Linked DNA regions of Drosophila melanogaster. The protein of the gene in region 2 interacts with the protein of the main gene of each other region in a pairwise test. Each region holds a gene or a part of one and is shown on either strand. Other genes may lie near its edges.

Region 1 (10,767 bases), 3.5 Mb from region 2:
TGTAAATAAACATAGCGCACAAGCATGAATGTGATTGTGCAAATGAAAACAAGGCTGTGAACTGTGAACCGCAGGCCAAATGACAACTCAAAAATCTGGCCATCTTCTGCAGAACTCCAAGCACAAAAAAAACAATATCTTCAACTGTTTTTTTAAGAGCAGCGAAAGAGAAAGCAGGTCACTTGTTCGACAAGGCAGTTTTTTTTTTTTTTTTTTTTTTTTTGGCAATCTCTAGCTTTTGATCTGGGACTCAAAGGAGCACCGAAAGTTGTGCACACCCAAAAAAAAAAAAAAAAAAAAAAAAAAATCTCAATTAATACGTCACACACTGCGTTGCATAACCCATAACCCGTATGCGTATTTCCGATGGCAATCGATGGATTTTTGTGCAAAACGCATGGGAAATTTTTCGCTTTTGCACAGCATCGATCTATTCAAATATATATATATATTTGACCAAATTTCAACAAAGTTCAACTTGTTTTATGGCATTGAATTGAATAGTGGTACCGCCATGATCTGTCTACCAATCGGTTCTCACACCCAACTCTACCGATATATATGTACATATATATATATATAAATATATGCTGTCATCCCCCGCACCAAAGCCCATTTCTTTTTGCATAAATTTACACACGTACGCGAATCGAGTGGAAACATTTCACTTTCGTTTGGTTACGAATTGAGATTTTTTTTTTTTGTATTCAGTTTCCAGACTGTGTTTTTTTTTTTTTTTTTTTTTTTTGTAGTTATTTTACCGACGAGCTTCAATTTGGCAATAATTGTATGGATACCTTAATAAGCCCATTTCGAGTGACTCTCGTGGCTTTCTTTCTTTTGGCCCTGAATGCAAATTGAAATTGAAATGCAGCTAACGCCCCGCACAAGTTTTAGCTGCCTAATTGTGCGAAGTGTATCTTTATATATTTTACTCTCGTACGGCGTAAAAGATCGTCAAAAATATGCTTTAAATCTGAAATTCAGTCACGTAGAGTACATTTTCGTTTTCATTTTCACTTTCGTTTGAAGGCGCATAGAAAAATATGCATTGTTACTCAAATGAAAAAGTTTTTCTACACGGGATTATATTGTTTTCAAGTGAATCTTCAATACGAAATATTTGTCGGAACAAAAAATGGTGGGATTACTTATTCTGATAAATTGTTACTTTTTATCTAATTTTTAAGCTTGCTATTTATGACATAAAATTACTCCATTGTCTCTTTATTCGTTTACTCAATTGGGAGCAGGTTAAAAGGTTTTCCTGCAATTTAAACTATACAACAAACAACTTAAATAGGAAAATTAGTAGTTAGGGCCAGCAAATTTTAAATACTTTCTCATTTTGTTGAAAGGGTCTTTTTGCCACCTTTTCTGTAGTGCTGTAAAATGCTATATATAATATAGTGAAATTACTATAGCAATTTTTGGTTAAAATATTCAATTTCAATCTTTGGAAGGGGACTTTCGTGTGCAAGTGGGCTTGTTATCGGGTCATTACACACATAAACTTTCGTTTTTTTTTTTTTGGCCAAACCGATTAGTGCTTAAACTTAGACATGATTGTTCACAAAATTATATTGGTAGATGTGTGTATGTATGTATGTATGTATGTATGTATGTATGTGTGTGCTCAAACTCAAATTAGCTAAATGATATTTTAATGACACCACTCCAAATGCAAAAAAACTCGTATCTGAAACAAAAGGCAAAAGGAATCGGCTGCGGCCCATAAAATATAATTCGATCTGTCTGCTCAGTATATCCGATTGTTGTTACTGTTGTTGTTGTTGTTGTTGCATAATTAACGCATTAGTGGCTCTTTATTATGATAATTTGTGTGTTTCTTGAACAAATTATGCAAGCTGTTTTTAGCCAAATAATTTTTGGTATCTTTCATTTTTTTTTATTTTAGCAATAATTATACATTGATTTTGGTTTCAAGGTTGGCTTTGCTAATTTGACTAAGAAAAATCACCAAACAAAAACGTGTGAGTCGCCAAAGAAGTTGACATTTAATTCGTTGAGAAGGCAGTCAAATATATTTGATTGAGTCTTGGATGAAATATTGATGAACTCCCTTGAAGTTCATGGGGGTGACAGCCCTATGATAGAGTTGTCGTCGTATTTTATATAAATTCACGAAGGTTGCTTAATGCCACAGAGGTTTTGGAATCTACACAAATGGTAATAAATGTAATGTAAGATAATAGAAAATGTACCGATACTTGAAATTATTGAACTACCATCAAAGTTTTAACTGCCCGCGTGGCACTTAGCCAATCAGATCGAACACCAATTATTAGGTAGATGTTGTAATAGTTGCTCAATGTCCAGGGTTAACTCGATACCGCCTGTCTGGTAAATTGATTTCGCAAAACTCACATTAAAAAGGCGTTTAAAAGCGATATACAATAGGCCAGAGATCAACCCGATGACAGGGCAAAAAAAAAAAATCGAGGGTATTTCAGAAGTGCGAGCGTGGCCAATTCTGGCACAATAAAACTGCGATTCGACGCGCTTCCCCTCCACCAAAAAATAGGTCAATTAATTTTGGTTTTCGTTTTGTTTTTTTTTTTTGGAACCCCCCCTCGTTTAGAAGAGAACTTTCCACAAAAGAGAAAACCGAAATCAAAAGGTTTGAGAAATAAGACAACGAGACAAAAAGACACTTGCAATTAGTCAGGTGGCGGATCATTTAAGGCAAACTTTATATGTATAACTTATCTAGCCGACTATCTGGCTTTGTACTTCCGTCAGCATTTTAGCTTTCTTTTGCCTTTTCGGATTTGATATCCATATAGAAATGAAGGGCGTATGCGACATATTAAGCCGCTTAATGGCGAATCAAGCAACAACAAGCTCCGCAAATAGACAGCGGCAGTCAGGTGTTAATTGTCTTTCGTGAAAGAAATTTCTCAATAATAATCGTAATGAAATAAAAAAAAAAAATATATATAAAAAAAAGGCGGCAATGAATCACCGAAATGTCTGGATTCACTTTCACACAGGCCAACAAACGATCCCTCACATGCAATATATATGTATGTATTTAAATATACATATAAATCAGCATTGCATAATGACGCCCAACTGCAATACTATACTTGTATCTTTAGTTTCGAATGCATCTCCAGTGTAGGTGTGAAAAAGTCAGCGACCCAAAGGCAAAAGTTAAACAACAAATACGAAAATGTTCAAAAATACACACACACAAAAAAAAAAAGAAATCCATACCGAAAAAACTTTCTCAATGAATAACCCCCACATGCAATTGAATGAGTGTTTGTGTGAATCATATTCAAAGTTGGCGCATAATATTGTAGTTTTGTGGTATTCAAATATTTATTCGAATTTCTCATGCGCTAATTTAATACAAACGAAACTGAAAATATTTTTAAATTCGATAAATAATTTGATTTTGATTTAAGGCGGAATTGACATTCTGACATTCTTACATTTTTTTTTTTTTTTAAATTTTGAGTGCCAATGGTGAATGCAATGACTTTCATTGCTGAAATTGTTCACTTAAATTGCAATTGCAATTAATGAATTCGCTTAATGTATCCATTCAACGAATACATTGCACATTTTCCATGCCTTTTTTTTATTGTTGAATGGGCTTTGTTTCGCTGTTTTTCTCATTGGAAAAGACTATCTCAAACAAAGTATTCAACCTGATTTCGTTGCTTACTCTTATTAGCAAATCTCACCTTGACATTGGGCTGTTGCAGTTGCAAGAAGGTGGCTACTCCATTGCGCACACGATTCTTGACGCCCCGTACGGTTCCCTTGGCGGATTTAATTGTAGAATTGCCGGCGAGCTTGCCCGCCGTTCGAATGTCACGAAAGCCAACAAAATCCTCACCCGGCTGCTCATCCGTAAAGTGCTGCGCTTCGTATTCCGTCGAGGAATTGGAACCAAAACTCCGGAAATTCTCGTGTTCGCGCACATGGAATGTGTAATAGCCATCCGTTTCGAATTGCAATGGTCTGCCATTGATTTTGGTGACCAGAGGACCGGACGCTCGTTCCCTGAATCGAATATCCCGCAGCAGGGTAGTGGGCAGCAGGCCACCAGAGTGCAGGGAATCGCAGCTTAGCGATGAGTTGCTGCTCTCATCGCATTCCTCGCTGTCATCGGTGAGGCTATATGCTCGCTTCGGAACGGGACTCGGCGTCTCCAGCGGGCTGTGCTTATGGTCCGCCTCCTCGTTGACCATCAGCCGCGTGGTCTGCAGATGAAGCTCCAGTTGCGGTGATCTCACCTGTTGCGGCTGCTGCTGCTGCTGCGGATGATTCTCCAGATCGCTGCCCGTGCCACTGTCCAAGGTCTCGCAGGGCGAGTACTGGCCACTGGTGTCCACCAAATAGCACATGTGCTGCTGCATCTCCTCCACGCCCTCGTTCAGCTTCACCACACTTATCTGCTTGCCCAGTGTTCGCTGCTGACCCTGGCTTTCGATTTGAATCTTCACCGTATTGTTGTGTTGCAATGTTGCCGCTGTGTCCGCTGCTGTTGCTGCTGCTTGACTGGCGGCAATTTCACCATTGCAGCTGATTATGGTCGGTGATGTTGCTGTTGCTGCTGCTGCTGTTGCTGCTGATGCTGCTGCTTCTGCTGATGCTGTTGCACCGGCAATTTCTCCGCCAATGCGCAACAGTAACTGCGGATAGATTTTGTTGGTCTCTGGTGCTGCTGTCGACTTTGCTGCAGTGTCGTAACTAGTTTCCAAATTATCTTTGGCTGTTGCTGCTGTGTCGCCAAATGCCAGCAACATGCCAGCAGCCTGTGACTTGAGCGACATTTCAGTGTTGCTGTTGCTCTTGGCAGTTGGTGCTACTTGTTTTGTTGCGGCTTCTGCTTCGGCAGTTGCGGTTGTTGTTGCTGGTGGTGGTGTTGCCGTTGCCACTTCTGGCGATTCAATGATTATGGAAATACCGCGCATTGGCTCCAATCGCGACACATTGCTAGTAATTGCCGCCATGGTTCTGCAGCATCTGGTTGTCGATATCCGATTTCAGATATCCAGTGCCTAGATCTCGTGCCTCCAAGCTGATGCAATCAAGTGCCGGCTAATGATGTTGCTCCTGTGCGTTCCACTTGCAGCTGCCTCTGCCTCTGCCTCTGTCTCTGCCGTTGACCGTTGCCAAGTGCTTTACAGTTAGAATGCCGCCTGCATACGATTGAAGTAATTGCCGCAGTTGCCTCTGCAAGAAATGTATTTATGCCAATGAAATAAAGTTTTATTTATTTTCGACTGAAATTTTGACGAGCCGTTGAGATTCTAATAGTCTAAAAAATGTCTAAATATGACCCCAAAGCTAACCAAGATAGGTATTTTCAATTTCTCCAAGTGTGTTAGACGCCGCCACACGAGCTTGACATTTAAGTTGAAGATGATGCTGAATAAATGTTAAAGGCTTTACCAGCATACTAAAAATACAGATGGGAAACCAGACAAAAAAAAAAATAATAATAATCATAATAATGATAAACACGAAACACCGCAAAAAGCAGAAAGAACTGGCTAAAGAATGTCGTAAGCAAAAGGAATATAAAATTCTGAATACCCTGTAATTTTTGCAGCTAATCATTTCTTTTCTATACATATTTGTAAACTAAGCAATTAATTGAAACAATTTAAATATAAACAAAAGATAGTTATTGTAACGAAATCAACTTCAGATATCATTTCGTTATTAATGTAGCTACATATGTATGTATGTAGCAAGCCGTATCGATTAGTGCAGCAACTTTTTCGATTCCGACAGTGAATGTTCTTCAAACTTAAGAACGAGTCGGAATTTACATTTAAATTGCTGAGGAGGAACTTGAAATATTGGGCGCGCACAGCCCGCGGCATTTTTGACTGCGGTTTTTTACGATTTTTTTTTTTCTCTTTGGAATCTGGAAACTGGTTACACTTGAACCTGGTATTTGTGTTTTTTTTTTCGTTTGTTGTTTGGAAATATTTACCCGTTGGTATTGCTGTTGTTGTTGTTGCTGCTGCTGGCCTGCATTCGCCGCTTATTGCACACAATTTTCATTTGATAGCATACCAAACAAACACACACACAAAAATAAAACAAAAATTGAAAAAATCGAAAAAATCAAAAAATTCAGAGATTTTTTATTGGACTATATTTTTTCATATATTGCACACACGCACGCAGTCTGTTTTTTTCCTTTAGATTTTCATGTTGCTGTGCTTACTATCAATCTTTGATCTTTCGTTGGGATTCTTCAGTTACTATATGTAATATATATGTATATATATGCACATGTATATCGGCTTGAAAACACGACTTTTGAGAACTCGCCGCGCGTACAATCCATTCAAAATCGCGCTGGCAACTGAAGCCGCAGCAACAAAGTCGCTTTGGGTTGGCGTGTTTCGCCAGGGATTGTTTTTTTTTTTTTTTTTTTTTTACCACTTCTTCTTCTTCGCATAGTTTCCTCTCTGTCTGCCGCCCATTCGCCGACTCTTTCTCAAGCCAGTTGTTGTTGAGGTTTTTTTAATTTTTGCTTTCAAGAAACTCACAAAAAAAAAGCAGCAGCCGCTGAAATTACCTAAAACAAAAATAAAAGAGCTTCAAGGCGATGGTTTAAATACACTGTCAGCAGATTTATTAGCTTATTAAGTACGCAATTAAGTCAGATTTCAAGTATTGCCCTAATAATTAATAATATTTACTTGCTACACATTTGCTTAATTATTTTTCAATTATATTGAAAATATATTATATTTATTATTAAATGCATAGAAATAGGTTGCATTTATTTGACATAGCCTGCATGTTGCACGATGAGTGCAAAAGTCAACTTACCCCAAAGGAAAAAGCGGGCAACAAATATGCGCCGCTGAGAATTTGTTTACGTGCGCATGCGCAGCCGCTGTCGACGGCGCTGCCTCTGCCGCAGTCGCTGCCCATGTCGACGTCGGCACTTGTCCGTCGCTTTTATTATTGTTATTGTTATTGCTGGTCTTGTTGCTGCCGCTGCTGTTGCTGCTGCTGTTGCTGGCGGCGCAGTACTCGTTTGTTGCCAAAGTTAATTGTTTGGTGCCACAGCTGCACAGTGGGACATCGAGAGTGCGCGGGGCACAGTGGGCAGTGGCAATTGGATGGCTGAATGGAATGTGGCAAGGCCTCAAACTGGTTTTCAGTTTTTAGGGGCTCAGGTGCGGCGATAACGCGATTGAGACTTCAACACGAGAGCAGGAATTCCGATTCCGCTGGCAATCAAAACAGCTTGCCGATCAAATTGGTTCAGTTCGAACCAAGAAATATATATATGTATATATATATATAATAAACATATGCACTTCTGGATCTCTGAAGCTGAAAAAGCTAACGAGTTGACCCCATGCTGATTCTAGTTTCAAACGAATCCTCCTCTTTGGACGCATTGGTCGCATTGTCGCCCAGAAATTTCCGCCTTAGAAATATGTACATATGTACAACTTAAGCATAAACAACAACTTTCCATCAAGCGACTTCGTCGCTCCGGCTGAACAATTGCCAAATGGATTTTAGCTTTTAATTATATTTAATACCAAAGTGTTTATGCAAAGGAAAGAAAAAAAAAGAAAAAAACCGAAAGAAAGACGCCTCGAATTTGTGTGTGCAATCAACGGAATGTAAAGCTGCACTTGCAGTATGCAGAAAGTACGAGTGCAGCAGCCACATGCAACAGGCGCTGCAGCTTGTAATTTACCGCTAATTCGATGCAGTGAGACGTCCAACGATGACGACCACTAATGTATGGTATGCATGTACGTATGTATGTACTTATGTATGTTTGTGCTTGCCACCGCCACCCGTACCGCCCCCAGTGGTAGAGGTACCGCTCCGCCCAGCACGATGGCCGGTCACTTGGCCAGTTTGTTTCCGCCTGTTGCGCTCCGCTGAAGTCACAAGGGCTGCTGCAGGCGTTGGCCAATTCAGATTACCGTTGCACATGCGCACACACACTCACACACTTTGCTGCACTGTGAGAAAGGAGTGACACTTGTCCATCGATTGCCAATGAAAAAAAAATATTTTTTAAAGAATTTTGTCGCCTTTCGTTACATTTGTATATGTTTTACAACTTATTTATCTACATTTAACAATTTAATTCCATTTTTTTTTCACTGTGTATTACTTCTAGTCAGTGAAAAGAAACTAGCCAAGCTTCACTAATCAATGGAGAAGTTTTTATGAATTCAGGATTTGTAAAGGAGTCGTAGGCTAATTGAAAAGTGAAAGAAAAAAAATAATCCCAATTTTTTGTGGCCAATTAAAATACCATATGAACGTAGGCTTTTTTTTTTTATTATTTATTGTCATTTAGTTGCAATTGTTGTTATGACTTAACAGTTGCAAGTTTAACATAAGTTAATAATCATACGTTGAATTATCTATATCATAGTTTCATGTGTTTCAATGCAAATGAAAGAATTTTACATCAATTAGAAGTTTCTTGTGAGCTAGCAAAATAAGGATAACAAATTCTGTAATAATCATCGAATTTTTTTTTTTTTAGCAATATGATTTTAATTGTTTATCGTAAATATATTACTATTCATTTTCAAGTTTTTGCAAACTGCGTGTGTTCCATCTGCGTATTCTTTGCGGGTAATAGAAGGTCGCCCATATATCGCGTCTCTTTCGTTTTGGTTTAAAACTCGTTTCGTAAGGGTTCCTTTATTGTCAACATCAATAACATTAAATACATGTATAATATATGTTTTCCTTTCGATCTAAATAGATGTGTATAATATATATCGATGTATATATATGTATAAGTATACCATAATGAAATTGATAACTTATAATACAGTGCAATCCATTGCTACATGGAGGAGTGAATTTCTTTTTCAAGGGTTTTTAATTTTTGATCGATTTTAAAAATGCCCAGAAGTGTCCAGAATTGTGTTTCAAAACGAATTCACGCGACCATTAGCTGCATTTCAAACACACATAAATAAATGTATATATATATAATAATGAGTCGTTTAACTTTAAGCTGCCATCTCCAGTTATGTATATGTATATCTTTATAGGGTTCATTTTCCACCTATTTGAACGGTTGCGTTTGCGATTTGTTAATGTTTTTCTTTAATGTAAATGTATATGTAAATGTATATGTATATGTATATATATATAACTACAGATATACCTATAGGCCATAAGTACAATGGAGTGTGGCGATGATAACGATTACCAACAAGTAATTTTATTCGTATAACTTTCGATTAGAGCAAAACATAACTCATTTCCAATATACATACATATCTCCGCCATCAAATATCTAAAACACTGAGACTTTAAAGTAGTTTTTTTAGGTTTTAAGCATAGTTTCGAATGTGATATGATTTCGTGATTCACACAGAAAGCCGTCGAGCTGAGATCACAACAGAGAATGAACTGTGCTTGATATAGTCACTGTATAGTTATAGTTATATATCTTCTATATAGGTGGTGCCCTCCCCGATGTCCCTTGCATGATATGGTCAAATTAAAGAATTAAGTCTAGAATATAGCATAGTTAGTCGAATATAGTTATCATACATATATATATCGTATATAGTCAGCAAATTGTGTTTGTGGCAAATTGTACGTTTTCTCTTTGATAGCGAAATCGGATATGTAGACCCTATAAGGGTGGCCATATAACAAACTCTAAACTCTCTCTGCCCTTTTTCGACAAAAAAAAAAAAAAAAACCAAAACCAAACCAAAGAAGAAAGGCAATGGAAAACAATAATCGCGTATATATGTATATGGCCACATGCTAATGAAGTTATGCGGAAATATTTCCATTGATTTCGCCCATTTTTTTTAATGCATTTCTATAGCTTTCTGCTTGAATGAAACCGCGCATCCAGCGTCGAGTTTTACCTAGTATTGCTATTTTCCTATTTTCATTTTCCTTGTTGTGGTTGCTTTGCATTATAGTTTTTCGGTTTTGTTTTTTTTTTTTTTTGTTTTATCTTCAAACAGTCTTTGGGACGACCATATAGGAGTGTTTTGATATCGACGCCGCATCTAACATCGGTGAGTGCTTACTTATTGTCCATATTTACATCGAGATTCAATTATATATATTTCATCATTCGTATCATATTCGGTTTGGGTTCGGTCAAGAATTCATTTGGTTTTATTGTCGTTGTTGTCAACTTATCATTGGTATCCTGTGCGTGTCTACTCCTCCTCTTCCAGCGACTTTTCGGGTAGTCCGTACTTTGGGCAACACATGCCCTCCGTACCGTCCATGTTGAAGCAGAAAATGCTGCGCTCCAGTTCGGTTGGTTCGTGTGGCACGATGCCGTGGACTTCCCTTAGCTCCGCTTCGGGAAACCAGGCGGGATCCGAGTCTTCCACCACCTTGATTCCGCACAGACTGAAATACGAAATATGTGTGTGTGAAATCATAAGACATAAGTCATAGGCTGGCTAATTACCGCAGCACCGCCACAATTGGTATCCACAGAATGGATGAGAGTATAAGGAAGAAGGCAACGACAATGCACCAGTGCGGCCACTCCATGCCCTCAGTGGCTCCCTTCGATCCAATCCAGGCAGGATAGCTACTGCCCTCGGTCAAAAGTTGATAGAAGGAGGCCAGCAGAATGGTGACCATTGCACAGGGCGATAGGTACTTCCAGCAGAACATCCAGTAGAAATTCGGACGCGAACCGGTCATCATCTCAATATCGTCCGAGAAACGGCGTACCCCATAGATGTAGCTAATCGAAAGGCATTCGAAGAGCGCAAT
Region 2 (9,436 bases):
AAAAATAATTTTTTTCTAAATTTTCACTTTTTTATAAGGGGTAACATCACGTTTTTTTCGAAAAATCGTGAAATTTAAAAATTTTTAGCTGGGAATGCCACTCGACAGAAAATTAAGCTACGAATCCAACAAGATATGGCATTCCACATTTGAACTTTTATTACAAAAGTTGTACGTAAAATTCTGATATTTTTCTTACTAAAAATCAAGACCCATTTTTTAACCAAAATTAGCGATTTTTTTATTGGTTTTTTAGTTGTAACTTCGCAAAATTAAGACTCACGGATACGAAACATACTGTTTTTTGCAGCTGACAACCCAACCTAACGACCCATTACCCTTTTTAGATGATTTGGTAAAAATAATTTTTTTCTAAATTTTCACTTTTTTATAAGGGGTAACATCACGTTTTTTTCGAAAAATCGTGAAATTTAAAAATTTTTAGCTGGGAATGCCACTCGACAGAAAATTAAGCTACGAATCCAACAAGATATGGCATTCCACATTTGAACTTTTATTACAAAAGTTGTACGTAAAATTCTGATATTTTTCTTACTAAAAATCAAGACCCATTTTTTAACCAAAATTAGCGATTTTTTTATTGGTTTTTTAGTTGTAACTTCGCAAAATTAAGACTCACGGATACGAAACATACTGTTTTTTGCAGCTGACAACCCAACCTAACGACCCATTACCCTTTTTAGATGATTTGGTAAAAATAATTTTTTTCTAAATTTTCACTTTTTTATAAGGGGTAACATCACGTTTTTTTCGAAAAATCGTGAAATTTAAAAATTTTTAGCTGGGAATGCCACTCGACAGAAAATTAAGCTACGAATCCAACAAGATATGGCATTCCACATTTGAACTTTTATTACAAAAGTTGTACGTAAAATTCTGATACTTTTCTTACTAAAAATCAAGACCTTTTTTTTACCAAAATTATCATTTTTTTATTAGTTTTTTAGTTGTAACTTCGCAATAATAAGACTCACGGATACGAAACATACTGTTTTTTGCAGCTGACAACCCAACCTAACGACCCATTACCCTTTTTAGATGATTTGGTAAAAATAATTTTTTTCTAAATTTTCACTTTTTTATAAGGGGTAACATCACGTTTTTTTTCGAAAAATCGTGAAATTTAAAAATTTTTAGCTGGGAATGCCACTCGATAGGAAATTAAGCTACGAATTCAACAATGTATGGCATTCCGCATTTGAGCGACTATTAAAAAAGTTGTGGATAAAATCCGAACATTTTTGTTAGTAAAAATCATAACACATTTGTTTGCCAAAATGAACGATTTTTTAATTGGTTTTTTAGTTGTAACTTCGCAAAATTAAGGCGCACAGATACGAAACATATTGTTTTTTGCAGCTGACAACCTCACCTACCGACCCATTTCATTTTTTAGATAATTTGGTAAAAATAATTTTTTTCGAAATTTTCACTTTTTTATAAGGGGTAACATCACGTTTTTTTTCGAAAAATCGTGAAATTTTAAAATTTTTAGCTGGGAATGCCACTCGATAGGAAATTAAGCTACGAATTCAACAAGGTATGGCATTCCACATTCGAACTTCCATTACAAAAGTTGTACGTAAAATTCTGATATTTTTCTTACTAAAAATAGAGAAAAAAAAAAACATACTGTTTTTTGCAGCTGAAGCTGGAAAGCTGCAAGTCGTTCTAATTTTCGTTCCTCTGTTTATCAGTATCATGCGTATTTTCATTTAAGATCAAATCGACAACATTACCCCCATTATTTAGAGTGCATAGCTTGTCCTGTTTGAGGTCTGCAGCTTAGCTAATCTCCCATCAAGATGGCGAATATTTTAAATTAATGCACAATGGTTCCGCCTTTGCTGCCCTGCTAATAGTGGACCAACTGATGTGATGGATGGCCTCCTTCCACCGCTGCCAGGATGAGTGATGGTCCAGAATGTTCCGGACTAGGACACCAACTAGCTGCAATCCAAGTGGCCGGCGTACATCGAGTTCAAGTAAATACGAAACTTGATTACCAAAACACGAACGTTTGCTTTTAGCCAGCCAATTTCCAGCTGCCATCCATTCTGTAGGCCACTTTGATTAATCGTAGCTGCATATGCAGCTGCATTTGGTACGAAAGCCACTAGTTAATCAGTTTCGTGCCTTTTCGTAGATTCAAGAAAACACCAGGCTGCGGCTTCTAATTATGTTGTGTCTGGAAATGGACATTCCCCACATCGCCAGCACAATGTGTGTGCTTTCTCACCAGTCCTAGAGGTTTGCGTGCACAGCGAGAAAATGATAGAACTAAGTTATGTGTTTTCACGATTAAACTGTGTGAAAGAAGTGAAAACATACAATTTTTCGAACAGTGCATTGTTCATGCTGTGGTGACAAATGCAATAAAGAGCGAAAGCGAGAAGCTTTCGTTGACGAGGGTTGGGGAATGCGGGGGCTTACTGTTGCCAGTTTGATTAATGACGACGATTGCCGCTTACTGATGGCCAAGAGGGGGATATATCCGAGGGATTCCTTTGACAGTGACCCCCCGTTTGGCCACTTTCATGGTCATGCCACTTTATTATAGCCAAGCAAGACTTACTTACATACATACATACATCTGTCTGCCCAGGCGGTCATAAACCATCTTCGCAGAGTCATTTTAAATCAGAGAAAACAATGCCACAGGCGCCGGGAATCAATCAGGGGCAGGCGGATAAGGGGGCGTAACCCGAGTGCAGCCCCACTGTCATCAATGTTTACGACTGGCCATAATGACGGAGCACAGCGAAAAGGAGGAGATTGGTATGGCATTATCAAAAGGACACGCAGCCTCATCAAGTTCTTCGCATGCCGCATTTTCGGGGGCTTCCCCATTGTTGTTTGGCTGCCATTGTTGTTGCGAACAATGCCTGAAAATAAAATGTCCGATAATGAGTGCGTTACCGAGCCGAAAAGAGTGCGGCTCTTGCTGACACAAGATTTGCCAGCCGTGCAGCCATTCATTTCCATGTGCTGACAGCAAATTGTCCAGAAACTCAAAAAGGCAACAAGCCGTTGAAGCCATAAAACGGTCAGCAAACGGCAGAGCCCCCAAACGGCGCCCAACTATAAACATAAGCAATCATAAAGATGGGCAAAAAAAAAAAAAATATTAACTGAAAACCCAAAACAAAAAAAAGGCTTAAGCTGCAGATGCTGTCAGAGCCGATCAAATTGTGGGAAATGTGACAGATGATAGCGCGAATTGTCTTCGGCACAATCAAATGGAAATCAACCGATTCGGAATGAGTTTTTAAATTTGTATGCGGGCATTTTTGAAATTTACTTATGGAGTTGCCAGACTGTTCGCTTCTCCTAATGTTAACCAGCCTCTGCTGATAAGTTTACAGACATGTAAATAAAACGAATATATGTTTATTACAGTTTCATATCGATAACTCAAATTTTGAATTGAGCTTAACACGCCACCTGTGACAAAGTAAACTAACTATACACTGGCAAGCAGTGCAGTTGCTCACAAAATACCCGTTACTCGTAAAGTAAAAGGGTATACTAGATTCGTCGGAAAGTATGTAACAGGCAGAAGGAATCGTTTCCGACTATATAAAGTATATCTATTCTTGATCAGGTTCAATAGCCGATTCTATCTAGCCATGCCCACGCCGTAAAACCGCCCAAAACTGCCACGACCACATTTTTAATAAGTGTTTGGATGGTTTTTCACAATTTTATTAGTCGCTTAAATTTCTATCGATTTAAAAAAAAAATTTCATCCACGCCCAGTCTAACGCACTAAAACCGTCATTTTTTCCCCAATATTTTTCGATATCCCAGGAAAATGATTAAATTTCGCATTCACATTAGCTGAGAAAATGGTATAACTCGACTATAGCATTCTTTCTTGTTATTATTATTATTATATTTACAATCTATATTTTTTTTTTCTCACACTGCAATTCTTTGGCAATGCCTGCCGCAAACGTTCTAATGAACCAAAAAGATGGCATTTACAAAATGATGTGCGATTGATAGAGTAAGAAAGGTCGAGGATGGCAAAGGATGTTTTGGGTAAATGCGAGGGTGCACCAGGACTTGGTCCTGCCCACCCGGGGACTACATGAAGTCATCCGACTCGTTGCCGGCATCGTAGTTGGTGCGCATGTTCTCCGATTTCTGGAGGGACGCATAGCTGCGCAGCTCCGCCTCCAGCTCACGCTGCTTGGCAGCCTCCTTCTCCTGCTCGCGACGCTCGCGCTGGATCTTCTTCTGATCTTGCCGCTCAGCGGCATCCCGCGCCTCGCGCAATCCCCGAAAATCGGGATGCTCCTCCTCCGTTTTGGTCCTGTTCAGGCGATTGACAATCTCATTGATGCGCTTCTCCAGGCGAATGCGACGCACCGCCTTCTCGTTGTGGTAGGCCACCTGGCCGGGCTCCATGTCCGGGGTCTTCTTCAGATTCTCCCACATGGTGTACACCACCTCCAGGTTGTTCACCTTGTTGCCCTGAATGCTGTTCGCCTTGCACAACTGAGCGGCGTCCACCAGCACATCGGTGGGTATGTCGTCGATTGTCTGGCCCTTCCGTAGCCGCAAATACACGTGGGCCGAGGACAGGTCGTGGACATGGAACCACACGTCCTCCGGCCAGCCCCATCTGATGAGCTCCTCGTTTTCGTGCTTGTCGCGACCCATGTATAGCATCGCCGGCGGCTGGACCACATTGCTCTTGAAGTAGAACACCATTGCGCCAGATTCCAGAGGACGAACTGCAAATAGAATAAAATATGTTTTCTTGGGAGGCTTGATTCAGGTCCACCTCTGGCTCAGTGTGACCAGACGACGTCTTGTCTGAAATACAAATGAAATACAGTGGAATTTGCATAGTGCTGATTTCTGTATCACTTAGTATATATATAAATTCCGCTTTTAATTTGGCTTTAATAACTCAAATTTCTTTAGGACACCGTTTTCACAAATTCGTCTACTTATATTAAATCAGAGTTGTCAAACAGTTATTGTTTGCTTTTTGAAGAGAGCACTGTAGTTGATGTTCTTCTTCTTTCACAAAGCCACAACAAGCTGTTGGAACGCCTAACAAAAAGCGTTTTGAATTGAATTTTTTCAAAGAACCACAAAATGCCTTTAAATCTTACCCGGGAATCCGTACGAGAACTCTGTTGCACATGCCTGCTCCAATTGGAGAAGGAACCCTTGAAGACAGAGCTCCAATCAGATGAGATTCCAATCAGCCAGGAGCTGCAGCAGCTGCTCAACATAAATCTATCGCAGGATGTGGAGAACCAGGACGCCGACCAGCAGTGGCTGCCCAACGAACTGTGCCTGGAATGCCGCAGCGCCGTGCAGAATTTCGAAAAGTTCCGCAGGAAAGCCGACGAGTGCAGGAAGCAGCTGCTGGAAATGCTGAAGAAAGACCCACGGGAACCCACTTTCGAAGTAGTCTACGATGGCAGGGAGGAGGACCAAGAGTCTCTGCATGGTCTGGAACCACCAGAACCCGCTCCCGACCCAGATCCCATCGATGAGCCGGCTATAAAAAGTGATAAATCCCCCCGAAAGTCCTTCAGGGGATCAAGGAACACCCTGAAGTGTTCTGTGTGCCGGCGCAGCTTTGCCCACCAGATCACCCTAGCAGCGCACATCCGTAAGGTGCACGAGGGCAGCAAAAGGCCCTTCCAATGCGATCAGTGCGAGAAGGCCTACAGTTTCATGGGCGGTCTGTATACCCACATTCGAGAGGTGCATGCCCCCAAGGAGCGACGCCATCCCTGCGACCAGCCAGGCTGCGAGAGAATCTACACCAGCCGCATAGCCATGCAGAAGCACAAAAGGCTGAAGCACAGTCCGCGTGACCGCGATGCTTTGAAGAAATTCATCTGCGAGCAGTGCGGAGCCAGCTTTAACCAGTCGGCGAATCTTAAATACCACCTTAAGACAAAGCATCCCACGGAGGACGAGGTGGCCGCCAGGGAGGGCGGCGCCGGAGAGCGCCATTTCTGCGACATTTGTCAAAAGGAGTTCCATTCACGATACACCCTCAAGTACCACACTTTGCAGCAGCACGAGGTGCAGGAAGAGTTGCCCCACGAATGCCAGGTCTGTGGACGCCGGATGGCCAAGAAGTTCATGCTGCTGCAGCACATGCTGATGCACTCGAACGACAAGTTGCCCTGCGAGCACTGCGGCAGAAGATTTGCCAGGCGATTCGAGCTCGAAGCCCATGTGAGAGCAGTCCACTTAAAGCTGAAACCCTTTCCCTGTCACCACTGTCCGGAGAGCTTTGCTTCTAGGAAAACCCTGCGGCACCATGAGTACATACACACGGGTGAGAAGCCCTACATTTGCGACACCTGTGGACAGGCCTTCCGGCAGCAGACGTGTCTTAAAAACCACCGGAAGGTGCACGAGAAGTAGTCTTAGCTAGCCTTAGTGGAAAAGATTTTAAAATAGACTGATTAAGTGGAAACGTGGCGTCTTTTGAATGTTCTGGAACAGGTAACGCTCTTCGTAGGACATGAAGGTGCTATGCCAACAACCCTTTCCTCAACAAACAGCAGGCATTCACTTAAATAGCTTTAGTCACCAATAACTTGTCTAGTACACAGTGTTATGCAGATTCCGGTGGCTTTGCGGTGGGATCCACCTGTGTGCTGTGTTGCTCCTGTTCGATGTAGACGCGCAAGTCCTCCAGAGGCTTATAGTAAAGGTGAACAGCCTGCGATCCGGCCATCATGGATGCCAGGGCACAGCCGAGGAATTTCAGGTACTGGCCCCAGGAAACTCCGGCGGGCATTTTGCTTAGTTGGTGTTATTCGCGGCTCGCGCCTGCAGATGCTGCTGCTCTTCCACGTAGTTCTTCGCCTGGCGGCGCTTAAAAGTGCGGTCTGCATGGAAAAGATTCCGTATTAGTAAATAAAAGTAAGGTTTTAAGCGTAGCAGTCTCACAGAAATTGGTCTCGCCCACTGTCCAATTGATCATGGAGAATTCCAGGCCGGCGCCCAGTAAAAAGAAGAGCGGCAGGAAGCGGTAGACACCGAAGCGCTTCTTTCCTGGCCAACTGTCCAGCAGACGACGCACGGATCCGCTGTACGGACTCATGTGTTTTCAGCCGGCGGTTATATAATTCCGTGTTGGTTTCGCCAATTTTAAGGCGAGATTCAAAGGTGCCGTGTTTGTGTATTGCCTCCGTCACATGTGTGCGTTAGTTCTGTATATGGTTTAATTGAAAATGTTTAGGCTTGTTCCTTTGTTTATTTATTATTTGCCAAAAGTAAAGGGGAAACTCCACTTGCCTCACGATACAATTTCCATTTGTTCCGGTTCGCAGCAATCAGCTGTTCGATTAGAGATGAGCGAGTGAGCTAGTGATGAGCTGATGTGATGACAACACAACGTTAGTAAATAAATTCATAAGTTAACTATGTATAAGGCCCCTTAAATAAATGTTCGTTTATTTCAGCCTATCTTAATTTCAATTTAATGAAATTATTTAACAGTTACTGAAGCGCTTCGGGAGCATGGTAGTAGAACACCTTCACGCTGTCATCGCTAATGATTCATCCCTGAAAAAAAAACATAGCTTAAACTAGCAAGCAATTTAGGTCGAATTATGATACACAGTCTGTTTATTGTAAACAGCGGCGGGTAAGCCATACCTATAAGTGAAATGTGAAGACGATGTAATACCCATATACCCATATATCCGCATTTCAGCGAGGTCTTCCTGGAAAAGCATTGGCGCTCGGTTGTCTCGAGATCTGTGTGCGAATACTTCCTTGACGCCCAGCGCGCTGCTCCATATGTGAGTCGCCCGTGCCACGTATGGGTTGTATGCTGACCATATCTCTTTGTTGCAGGATGTGCCGCCGGTGATAGCCACGCCCCACTACTACCTGATTACAGTGCAAAGGGACACGGTGTCTTTGGTCGCCGCCTGCAAGCAGGAGGTGCCGCCGCTCTTTGTCATCGAGTTCCTGCATCGCGTGGTGGACACCTTCCAGGACTATTTCGGCGACTGCTCCGAGTCCGTGATCAAGGACAACTATGTGGTCGTTTACGAGCTGCTGGACGAGATGCTCGATAATGGCTTCCCACTGGCCACCGAGAGCAACATCCTCAAGGAGCTGATCAAGCCGCCCAATATCCTGCGCACCATTGCCAACACGGTGACGGGCAAGAGCAAGTAAGTTGAATGATGCTCCCTCCGTCTTTGTCTTTCATTTACCTTAATAATCCAATTAATAATCCGATTTCCGAAGTGTAAGCACTACTTTGCCCTCGGGTCAGCTGTCGGCGGTTCGCTGGCGCAGAAGCGGCGTGAGGTACACCAACAACGAGGCGTACTTCGATGTCATCGAGGAGGTGGACGCTATCATTGATAAATCCGGATCCACGGTCTTTGCCGAGATCCAGGGACACGTAAGTTTCACTTAAGTCTATAAAAATAATTTCTATCTCTTTTATTTTTTTATCAGATCGACTGCTGCATTAAGTTATCCGGCATGCCAGATCTGACGTTATCTTTCATGAATCCTCGCCTCTTCGACGACGTTTCCTTCCATCCTTGCGTGCGCTACAAGCGCTGGGAGGCGGAGCGCCTGCTCTCCTTTATCCCGCCCGACGGAAACTTCCGCCTGATGTCATATCACATTAGCTCTCAGTCCGTGGTGGCCATACCCATCTACATCAGGCACAACTTTTCGATCAAAACGGGTGAGCAGGGGCGTCTGGACCTCACGATTGGCCCGAGGAACACCCTTGGTCGCACCGTTGACAAGGTGAAGCTGGAGCTGACCATGCCGCGGTGTGTGCTTAATTGCCTATTGACGCCGAATCAGGGAAAGTATACCTTCGATTCGGTGACCAAGACGCTGTCCTGGGATGTGGGACGGATCGATGTTTCCAAGTTGCCAAATATTAGGGGATCGGTAAGAATAACTATTGAGACCCTTTACACTTTTACACGATTCATGTATCTAACGTCTTAAATTATTTATATTTTTATCCCATTAATAATATACTGTCCTTGCACGCCTAGGTTTCCATTACGCCCGGTACGACCAACATCGATGCCAATCCATCCGTGAATGTCCAGTTCCAAATCTCGCAGCTGGCCGTCTCTGGGCTAAAGGTAAATCGCCTGGACATGTACGGCGAGAAGTACAAGCCTTTCAAGGGCGTCAAATACCTGACCAAGGCGGGCAAGTTCCAGGTGCGGATGTAGACAAAATCATCATCCGGATTCCAATTCCAGCTTTAATTAATAGCTAACGTTAAGTGTATTCCGCTTGTTTTTTTTTTTTTCATTTGATGTTCTAGCCCTCGTCTCTCTCCCTGTGTATCTCATTTATGTATCTATATCTCTACCCATAAAATATTAACTTCAAGTGTAGTCGCCTTGTCGTTGTTCTTGGACGCCGT

The links.
Region 1: the proteins of CG4593 (region 2) and CG12206 interact in a two-hybrid assay, tested with the Drosophila melanogaster proteins (one large-scale study listed by BioGRID).

Annotation. Positions count from the first base shown.
Region 1 is NC_004354.4:3,468,158-3,478,924, forward strand, and holds the start of CG12206 (uncharacterized protein), read right to left. Parts: upstream 6,368-10,767; 5' UTR 5,984-6,367; intron 5,294-5,983; exon of another isoform or gene 5,215-5,293; 5' UTR 4,992-5,214; coding exon 3,717-4,991; intron 1-3,716. Other genes in the region: CG10804 (uncharacterized protein), read right to left, coding at 10,194-10,392, 10,454-10,767.
Region 2 is NC_004354.4:7,009,281-7,018,716, reverse strand, and holds CG4593 (uncharacterized protein), read right to left. Parts: upstream 4,831-9,436; 5' UTR 4,741-4,830; coding exon 4,111-4,740; 3' UTR 3,708-4,110; downstream 1-3,707. Other genes in the region: CG3032 (uncharacterized protein), read left to right, coding at 5,134-6,429; sloth2 (sloth 2), read right to left, coding at 6,623-6,808; sloth1 (sloth 1), read right to left, coding at 6,814-6,899, 6,961-7,114; cm (carmine), read left to right, coding at 7,626-7,660, 7,730-7,817, 7,873-8,198, 8,275-8,434, 8,491-8,943, 9,054-9,239.